Xenopus tropicalis: one gene and its partner. The protein of the gene in region 1 purifies or fractionates together with the protein of each later gene. This does not show direct contact. Links are inferred from orthologs where the notes say so. Each region holds a gene or a part of one and is shown on either strand. Other genes may lie near its edges. The genes, in order: atp5f1c and vdac1.

Region 1 (4,389 bases):
GTGTGATGGTCTGGGGTTGTTTTGCTGCTTCAGGACCTGGAAGCCTTGCTGTGATAGATGGAACCATGAATTCTACTGTCTACCAAAAAATCCTGAAGGAGAATGTCCGGCCATCTGTTCGTCAACTCAAGCTGAAGCGATCTTGGGTGCTGCAGCAGGACAATGACCCAAAACACACCAGCAAATCCACCTCTGAATGGCTGAAGAAAAACAAAATGAAGACTTTGGAGTGGCCTAGTCAAAGTCCTGACCTGAATCCTATTGAGATGTTGTGGCATGACCTTAAAAAGGCGGTTCATGCTAGAAAACCCTCAAATAAAGCTGAATTACAACAATTCTGCAAAGATGAGTGGGCCAAAATTCCTCCAGAGCGCGGTAAAAGACTCGTTGCAAACACTTGATTGCAGTTATTGCTGCTAAGGGTGGCCCAACCAGTTATTAGGTTCCGGGGGCAATTACTTTTTCACACAGGGCCATGTAGGTTTGGATTTTTTTTCTCCCTAAATAATAAAAACCCTCATTTAAAAACTGCATTTTGTGTTTACTTGTGTTATCTTTGACTAATAGTTAAATGTGTTTGATGATCAGAAACATTTTGTGTGACAAACATGCAAAAGAATAAGAAATCAGGAAGGGGGCAAATAGTTTTTCACACCACTGTAGATGCTACCAAATAACCAATTAGAGACCATTATTGGCACCCCTTGGAAAATATGGCATGTCTGTGATGCTCTCCAACATTTTTTTTACATATGAACGTGGCTCGCCGGTAAAAAAAAGTTGTGGATCCCGAAGTTAGACTGTAAGCGTCATATGATAAACAAAGGCTAAAAAGAAACCAGTTCACAACCAGTGTAGTCCACAACGCATGATACTGATGTAAAATCCTCTTTGGGTTTACCCGAACAGGACTACGGTGGGTGCTGCTGTATTTAGCCCAAGTCTATACAAAATGCTTCAACTGATTTCAGAACTGCATATTATAAAGAAAACAGCAGCCATCTCTCCGCCCCCAACAGACTTGAATAGTTGAATTAATAACGCAACATTGTAGTAGTCTTGTAGCGTGCACGGCTGTACTATACATGCTGCGCCTCATAAACAACACTTCCTTATTGTTACTGCCGTCTCCCTTCTCCTCACCTCATCCCGACACTGTTTCTGACACATTTGACAGTACCATCGCAGTTTCTGGAGTCCTTTCGATTTGATACGATTTGCGATTGCCTTCGGAGTAAGGAAGTCTGCTTTCCCCATGGCCAAGCCTGCTCTCCGGCAGCTGAACCAGAAATCAGCCCCAGTCCCTCAAGCAACGCGAACTACGTCAGCAGTCCCTACGGCACTGAACCGCTCAGATAACTGGGGGAGGGACAATTCATTAAGAAGACCAATAACTTTTAAAGGGTTTGCCCTTACCTGATATGGCGCGGTATCGCGAGGTTTCCGGCCGCTGCGCGCTTTTCCAGCCCCGGTTCCGTGCATGCGCGTCCTGCGCTGACTGACCTTGCCTGCAGTCACCATGTTGTCTCGGAGCAGCGTCCTCATCTTGCAGTCACAATGGTGAGACTGGCTTTCCAAACTGTTTGTGTCCCTCAACACACGGGGGTGGCGGGGAACAAGTGACAGGGAGTCGGTGTGGGGAAGCCCGCAATCTATAGTGGCTGTTATATTCATTTCTCACCCTGCTAGGCCGCGGCCGGACCTTGCCTGTCAGGGCTATCATACAACTGGGAGTGAAGTACAAATGTGCAACATTTAGCGCTGTGCCCTAGCATCATCATTCATTGCATTTTAGCCGTAATTTAGTATTTGTGTGACTCCTGGAGTAGATTGTTCTGGGCTCTTGGGAAGGTCCCTGTCAATAACATGAAACAGGGTACTACACGGTAGTGTAGAAATGGGGATCTGGGGTTCGAATATGTCCCCCTGAAGGATGGTTAACATGTTGGATATAAAAGGCGGGAGGAGGTCAAACGAATAGCTGTCAATTTTTTACATGATTAAGTGACGCTTGTCAAGTTGTTCCCATATAATGGTGCTAAATAATGTTATGTGCTACATCACAAGCCGTCGCTTTATTACTTAGTAATATTAGTAATATTAGAGCGAAACTCTATTCAATAGTATCAGTGCCATATTAACCCCCCATGACCTTCACCTGTTGTTCAGCTACAACTCCCAGCCTCTGGCACAGTGCATAGAGCTGTCCAACATGCAGTCCTCTTGCTGTCAACACTTTTTAACAGAACAGATACTTTATTCTATGGACACATGTAAAATTTCTACTGTCAAGTGAGCATTCATTGCTATTTAAAGGATAGTAACGCTCTTACTAATAAGGAAGTTAACAAAAAATAACTAGTATTTTTGTTACAGAATATGTATATATTTATTGTATCCAACTTTATGGTTGTGTGAAAGTGCAGAGGTCACCTTGCCATGTCTTGTGAATATCTACTCAGTGTGTTCTCCTTTACAGAATTCTGCTTTAGTAACTTATTAGATTTAAGCAAATGGTTGAGATCCCACGAAATGTAAACTTAAAACAACCGGCATGGTTTTATAATAAGGCTATTAAGTTTTAAGCCCAAGCATTTTAGAAATAAACTAATAATTTTCAGAGGGACCTTGGTAATTCCTGCATGACATAACTTGATTCTATTCTTATGTTTCTCTAATGTAACCTAGACATTAGATTTATCTCATGCCGCAGACAGAATTTGGCAAATAATGGCAGAGAAAAGGTATTCAAAACTGACAGCCCCCCCAACCATGGGGATCAGGTGTAAGCCACTTGTGTGCAGACAGTTTGGTCTGCACTAGTTGGACATTCCCTGATACTTTTGCATCTTTAGGATCCACTATCACAAAGTGTTTTGTAAGAGAAGAACTTTTAAGTCACGTTGTTAAAGTATTTTTTTTTAGGGGAGTTAAAAGTTGGTGTGATTTTGGTACTGCCACCTCAAATAACCCAACTGACCTTCAAACTGGGCTTTTGTATATTTCTAAGCAAGTAGGTAGACGTTCTCAATAAAGCTTCCCTTAATTGGCCCTCTGGCTGAGTTTTCCCTGTCAGTGGTCCAGGCACCTGTTGGGGGGGGGTAGTCCCCCTAAGAAATCACTGGTTTAAAATGTTGCACCCAGCTCCTTTTTACTGTGAAAGAAGATATGGTGTAGTTAAAAATCTAATTACCAATTAATACACACTAATATTTTTATTGCCTTATAACGATAAAAAAAATATATGAATTCACCACATTAAAAGCTGGCCAGCTAGAAAATTAATTAAAAGCATAATATGATTGCTTATATGCATGAATGTCAATTACATTAAGAGAACAGCAGTTTCTTCTTAAAAAGCTCAATAAAAACAGCCCAAAAGTCCCATAGTTCCTGTAAAACTGCAAAATAAATTCATTACATGCATGTATACAGATTTGAAAAACTCTTCTGTATAAATATACAATAGATCAAAATTGTTGGGACCTGATAGTCTAAGGTCTTTCAGACCGATGATACAGTTAGCACTTATCCCACAAAGAGTGTCAGGACACTTTTGGGTAAAGGCATTATTTCTGTGGTGTCCCCCTCCACCCTTCTCAGCTTAATTTAATTTTTCCCTCCAAGTGATGGAATCCTCTCACCAATTTATTCACTGGGGCTCCTATACTGGCGCTAGGTCCGGATGACTCCTGCATCACTCTGCATCTGATGAGAGCCCTGCTCTGCATTCACTTCAACTCCTCTACTAAAATGAAAGATGGCGCTAAGCATTCCTTGGCGGGTGTTTTACTGTGGAATACAACCTTCAAAATAGTTTTCGCTGCTCTACCACTGATTACAAAATAGAAAAAGCTTTTGTAAAGATTGCTCTCTAGGCTCACAACCACCTTACCTCCCATAGCGGGTGGAATTACAGCCATGTGTCTTATCACTGACTGGTATCGCATTATTCAAAGTTTTTTCCTCCTTTTTGCAGGGGCCAGGGTCAGGTCAGGAACATGGCAACATTAAAGGACAGTAAGTATTGCTCACTGGTAATGTAAAAGAAATTCTCATCACTTATAAATGATTTTGTAATCATTTTAGGAAGTGCGCCATCCCAGGGAAAAATTAACATAGCACTGCTGTTTGACTTTCCTTTTTCAAAAGTTCATAGTGCTGAGAGTTGCGCATGAGCACTAAGAGTAAAGTCAAAAACTTACTTTGCTGCCCAAGCCAGGGACACCTGGAAATAAGGTAAGATGGCAGTGCAGTGTTGTAAGTTATTTTCCTTGGCTGATGCTCCTTTTTAGGAAAAAATTTCATTTGATTTAATTCCACCTTTTTCTTTTTTTCTTTAAATGTTTAATAAGAGTTGTTGTTATGCAAGCTATGGTGTATTTTATG
Region 2 (4,255 bases), about 61 Mb from region 1:
AAAGACATTTAATATGCCTATTCCTGTCTCCTGATCTATCCCCTAGGCACTGCAATATCATAAAACACTGTAACACAGCGCTGGTCAATACCCAATGCAGTGTTTTATTCTTTTTCATTTCAGCTCTTAGAGATATAAACAATACAGCACATCTCACTCTTCTGTTTAAAAAAAACCTTAAAACCCTGTCCAGTAAAAGTTCACAAATGTACTTTTATCAGAAACTGATATTTTCAGCCATATAAAACATTTCTGCACAAATGAGCACGTGGAGACATTCACAGCAATGACATTTCTTTGGAATGATGGACGGTGCCAAATGAGGAGTGTCCTTCAAAGCCAGAGTCAGATGACACCTTATTTTAGAGGCACAACTCAGCTCAGCAACAAAACTAGTCTAAAAAAAAACCCCAAAAAGCCAAAACCCATGCCTTTTGCCTTTATGGGGTTTATACACATAAATTACAATTGGCTGGAGCAAAATCTTAATTATGTAATGGACATCATCCACCTTTCTGAAAATCCACAAAAGGATTATCGGTATATTGGACAGCCAGGAATGGCCCTTTTGACCTTCAGCAGAATGATTAAAGGTTGCCTATATTAATAGTGATTTATATATAGTTACTCACTTTGATTTTCAATAATAAAAGGTGTGCTTGGCTTTTCCTGGTAAGTAGAAGATAATAATGCCAGGCATTGGTACTTTGTATAGGCAAGTAAGCCTTACATTGCTGCAGTGAGTTACCTGGGCAGAGCATCAGCACTCATGCAATTAATTAATACAGATACAGGATCTATTATTCAAAATTCTTGGGGTTTTTCCAGATAAGGGATCTTTCTATAGTTTGGGTCCCCACACTTTAAGTCCACTAAAAATCATTTAAATATTAAACAAACAAATAAACCCAACAGGATTGTTTTACTACCAATATGGATTCATGCAGCTTAGTTGCCATCAAGTACAAGGTTCTGATTTATTATTGCAGAGAAAAAAGAAATCACTTTTAAAAATTTGAATTATTTGCTTAATATGGACTCTATTAAAGCTGAGATTGCCTTCCCATAATTCAGTTTTCTAGGTAACATGTTTATGAATTAGGGATCCTATACTTGTACAGCTAAAATAAGCCAGTATAATTGTATACTATATTACATACTACAGGTATGGGATCCATTAACCGGAAACCAGTTATCCAGAAATCTCCGAATTATGCCCATAGACTCCATTTTAATCATATAATTTAGATTTTTAAAATTGATTTCCTTTTTCTCTGTAATAATAAAACAGTACCTTGTACTTGATCCCAAATAAAATACAATTAATCCTTATTGGAGGCAAAACAATCAAATTGGGTTTAATTAATGTTTAAGTGATTTTTTCCTAGAGTTGAGGTATGAAGATCTGGATAAGAGGTTTTTCCATAATTTGGAACACCCTTGGTCCCAAGCATTCTGGATAATGGGTCCTATACATGTATAATTTACTGAGCATAATATAAGTTCCTTGAGCTAGACTTTACCAAGCTGATTTACTTACACAGGTGCTAATTTCCACCAATACAGTTACCCATAGCAACAAATCAGATATTTGCTTTCATTTTCTAGCTAGCTTATTGATTGCTTGCTAATGCTATTGACGACTGTGCCTGTGGAATTTAGTAAATAAGCCCCTAAATGTAAGTTTCAGTCCCAATGACTGAATATCCGCACATTGCTGTAATGTACACCTTATATTATAATGGTTTCTTGTTACATTGACGTGTATGTGTAAGACTGATGTTCCCACCAATTGGGGGAGGAAAAAAAAAAAAAGCGGCACTGTCCACTAAAAATACCTCCATCTCTTTCATGATGCTTAGGGCCGGCTCTCATGGAGCCTGGTGCAATCATGCATTAGGATACATACACTGATGGCTTCCACAATAAAGGTCACCTTCCGCTCAAAAGCCTGTGTGTGTGTGTAGTACAATATTCATGTAAGCAGTATATTCCTAGCGGCAGCCATTAATGTTTTATTAGGGAAATTCCTTATATACACAGATATTTTATCTTTTTTTGGACATTTGCACAAGCTACCAAATCTACTATATGGGAGTATTGTACATATTATCCCACTTATACATGCATCTGACTGAAACCATTTAAATGTTAGAATGAGGGACAGTCCTGTTTGTCACAGACATGTACGTACTGTATATATATATATATATATGTACTATATATATATATATATATATATTATATACACACATACATGTGTGTGTAGATATATATATATATATATATGCAACAATACCAGTTACAGTATTTATAACTGTACAATGAACATTATAAGGAGATATAATATAGATAAATATATGTATGTATATATATATATATATATATATGTGTGTGTGTATGTATATGTATGTATATATATATATATATGTGTGTGTGTATGTATATATATATTATCGAACACGAACATTATAAGGATATAATAAAGGGTGCCATTATTAAAGACCAACGTCACATGAATGTAGTAGATATATATTGGTGCGTAGGATGAATTTTGTTCCACATTATGAGGTCCCAGCTCGGTGTATACAGAGAATTAGTGGCTAATCCATACGGACAAGGGGTGTAAGCCAGGGCCGGGCGTATTACCCATGATGCATTTGCGCACTCAGCACCGCGCTACGGGCTAACGATGGATGAATTAAAGTCGCCATCACGGAAGCAGCCAGCGGGCTGCCGTACACTGTGCAATATTACGCAAAGGTCGCCCTTCGCTCTTGGCCTCCTCGCTTAGCGGTTATTTACAAAGGCATATCATTCTGCTCAACGTGTATCGTCGCACACATCAGTATCTACAATCACGGACTATTTGAATGACGGCAGGTTTCGGGTTAAAACGTGGGTTTTTAGCTGGGTTTCCACCTTACCTTCCTAGCTGAGAGGCTGCCTGCTGCTGCTGCTGCTGGAGAGCTGAGTGACAGTGCAAGGGGAGCAGGGGGCGGGGCACCGCGGAAAGCTCAGGGAAGGCGCTGCTGACGTCACCGCCACGCCCCCTGGAACCTGATCCCACAGCCCTGACCGCTGAATGAGGGCTAGTAATGGGCTGCCTGCTAATGGCTGGCTGATACTAGTGCCTGCTAATGGCTGGCTGATACTAGTGCCTGCTAATGGCTGGCTGATTCTAGTGCCTGCTAATGGCTGGCTGATACTAGTGCCTGCTAATGGCTGGCTGATACTAGTGCCTGCTATTGGCTGGCTGATACTAGTGCCTGCTATTGGCTGGCTGATACTAGTGCCTGCTAATGGCTGGCTGATACTAGTGCCTGCTAATGGCTGGCTGATACTAGTGCCTGCTAATGGCTAGGTGACTCTAGTGCTTGCCCAGTACATAAATAGATGTTAGCCTCGTAGTCCCTTGAACTGGTAGGGAAAGGCATGTTATTGTGCAGTGTGTATTATTAGTTCACGGCAGCCCCCTCCCCGCACGCTGGATTTTTCCTCACAGCTGCTGCTTGACCTCCTGTGTTCTATAAATGGCGACTGGAAAGAATACCAGTGCTAGTCTGTATATTTGGACGACAGGCCGCCAATGTGCTTTGTGCATTAATTATGTCAAAAGACGGTTCAATAAAATGTTATTTTTTTCTGTGCTGGTGACTTGGCTACGTCCCACCCGTAATAAAGATTATGTCTGATTTTATCAAGGGCAGTCACCAAATCACATTAATATGTGAACAGAATTTTACACAACAAAATGTATTAAACATATTACAGCTACATGTGGAGTAGTAACTGCACACATCTGGCACTGAAGGAACTATTGTAACAATAATAAGGGGGGGCATTATTTTTGTGGAGCCCCTTTGTAGCTCTCCATCCATTTAGCACACAGGCCTGTTACAGCTTAGGAGATCAGCCTGGGTATGGCCATTGTTAGTTTACATACAAATTACAATGTGTAATTCCAATACTGTAACACAATATAAGACTCTAAACAAATATATATACCCTGATATTGACTGGGGCAATAGTACTGCCAGGACAGTAAATGGGAACAAGTTTATAAACTTGCTGCATGACAACTTTATGTCACAGGTTGTTGAGGAGCCAACCAGGAACCATGCTATACTAGATCTAGTGATCTCTAATGGCCCAGAACGTATAGCAAATGTGCAAGTGGTTGAACCCCTGGGTAATAGTGACCATAATGTTATTTCATTTGATGTTTGGTGCAGGAAACAAATTTACACGGGGG

What was found.
Region 2: the proteins of atp5f1c (region 1) and vdac1 fractionate together in Homo sapiens (co-fractionation; 3 studies listed by BioGRID, with this or other methods). This does not show direct contact. The link is inferred for Xenopus tropicalis from reciprocal best matches to the Homo sapiens genes ATP5F1C and VDAC1.

Annotation. Positions count from the first base shown.
Region 1 is NC_030679.2:83,761,823-83,766,211, reverse strand, and holds the start of atp5f1c (ATP synthase subunit gamma, mitochondrial), read left to right. Parts: upstream 1-1,447; 5' UTR 1,448-1,519; coding exon 1,520-1,560; intron 1,561-3,979; coding exon 3,980-4,020; intron 4,021-4,389.
Region 2 is NC_030679.2:22,875,839-22,880,093, reverse strand, and holds the start of vdac1 (voltage-dependent anion-selective channel protein 1), read right to left. Parts: upstream 2,947-4,255; 5' UTR 2,928-2,946; intron 1-2,927. UniProt on the Homo sapiens protein: Non-selective voltage-gated ion channel that mediates the transport of anions and cations through the mitochondrion outer membrane and plasma membrane.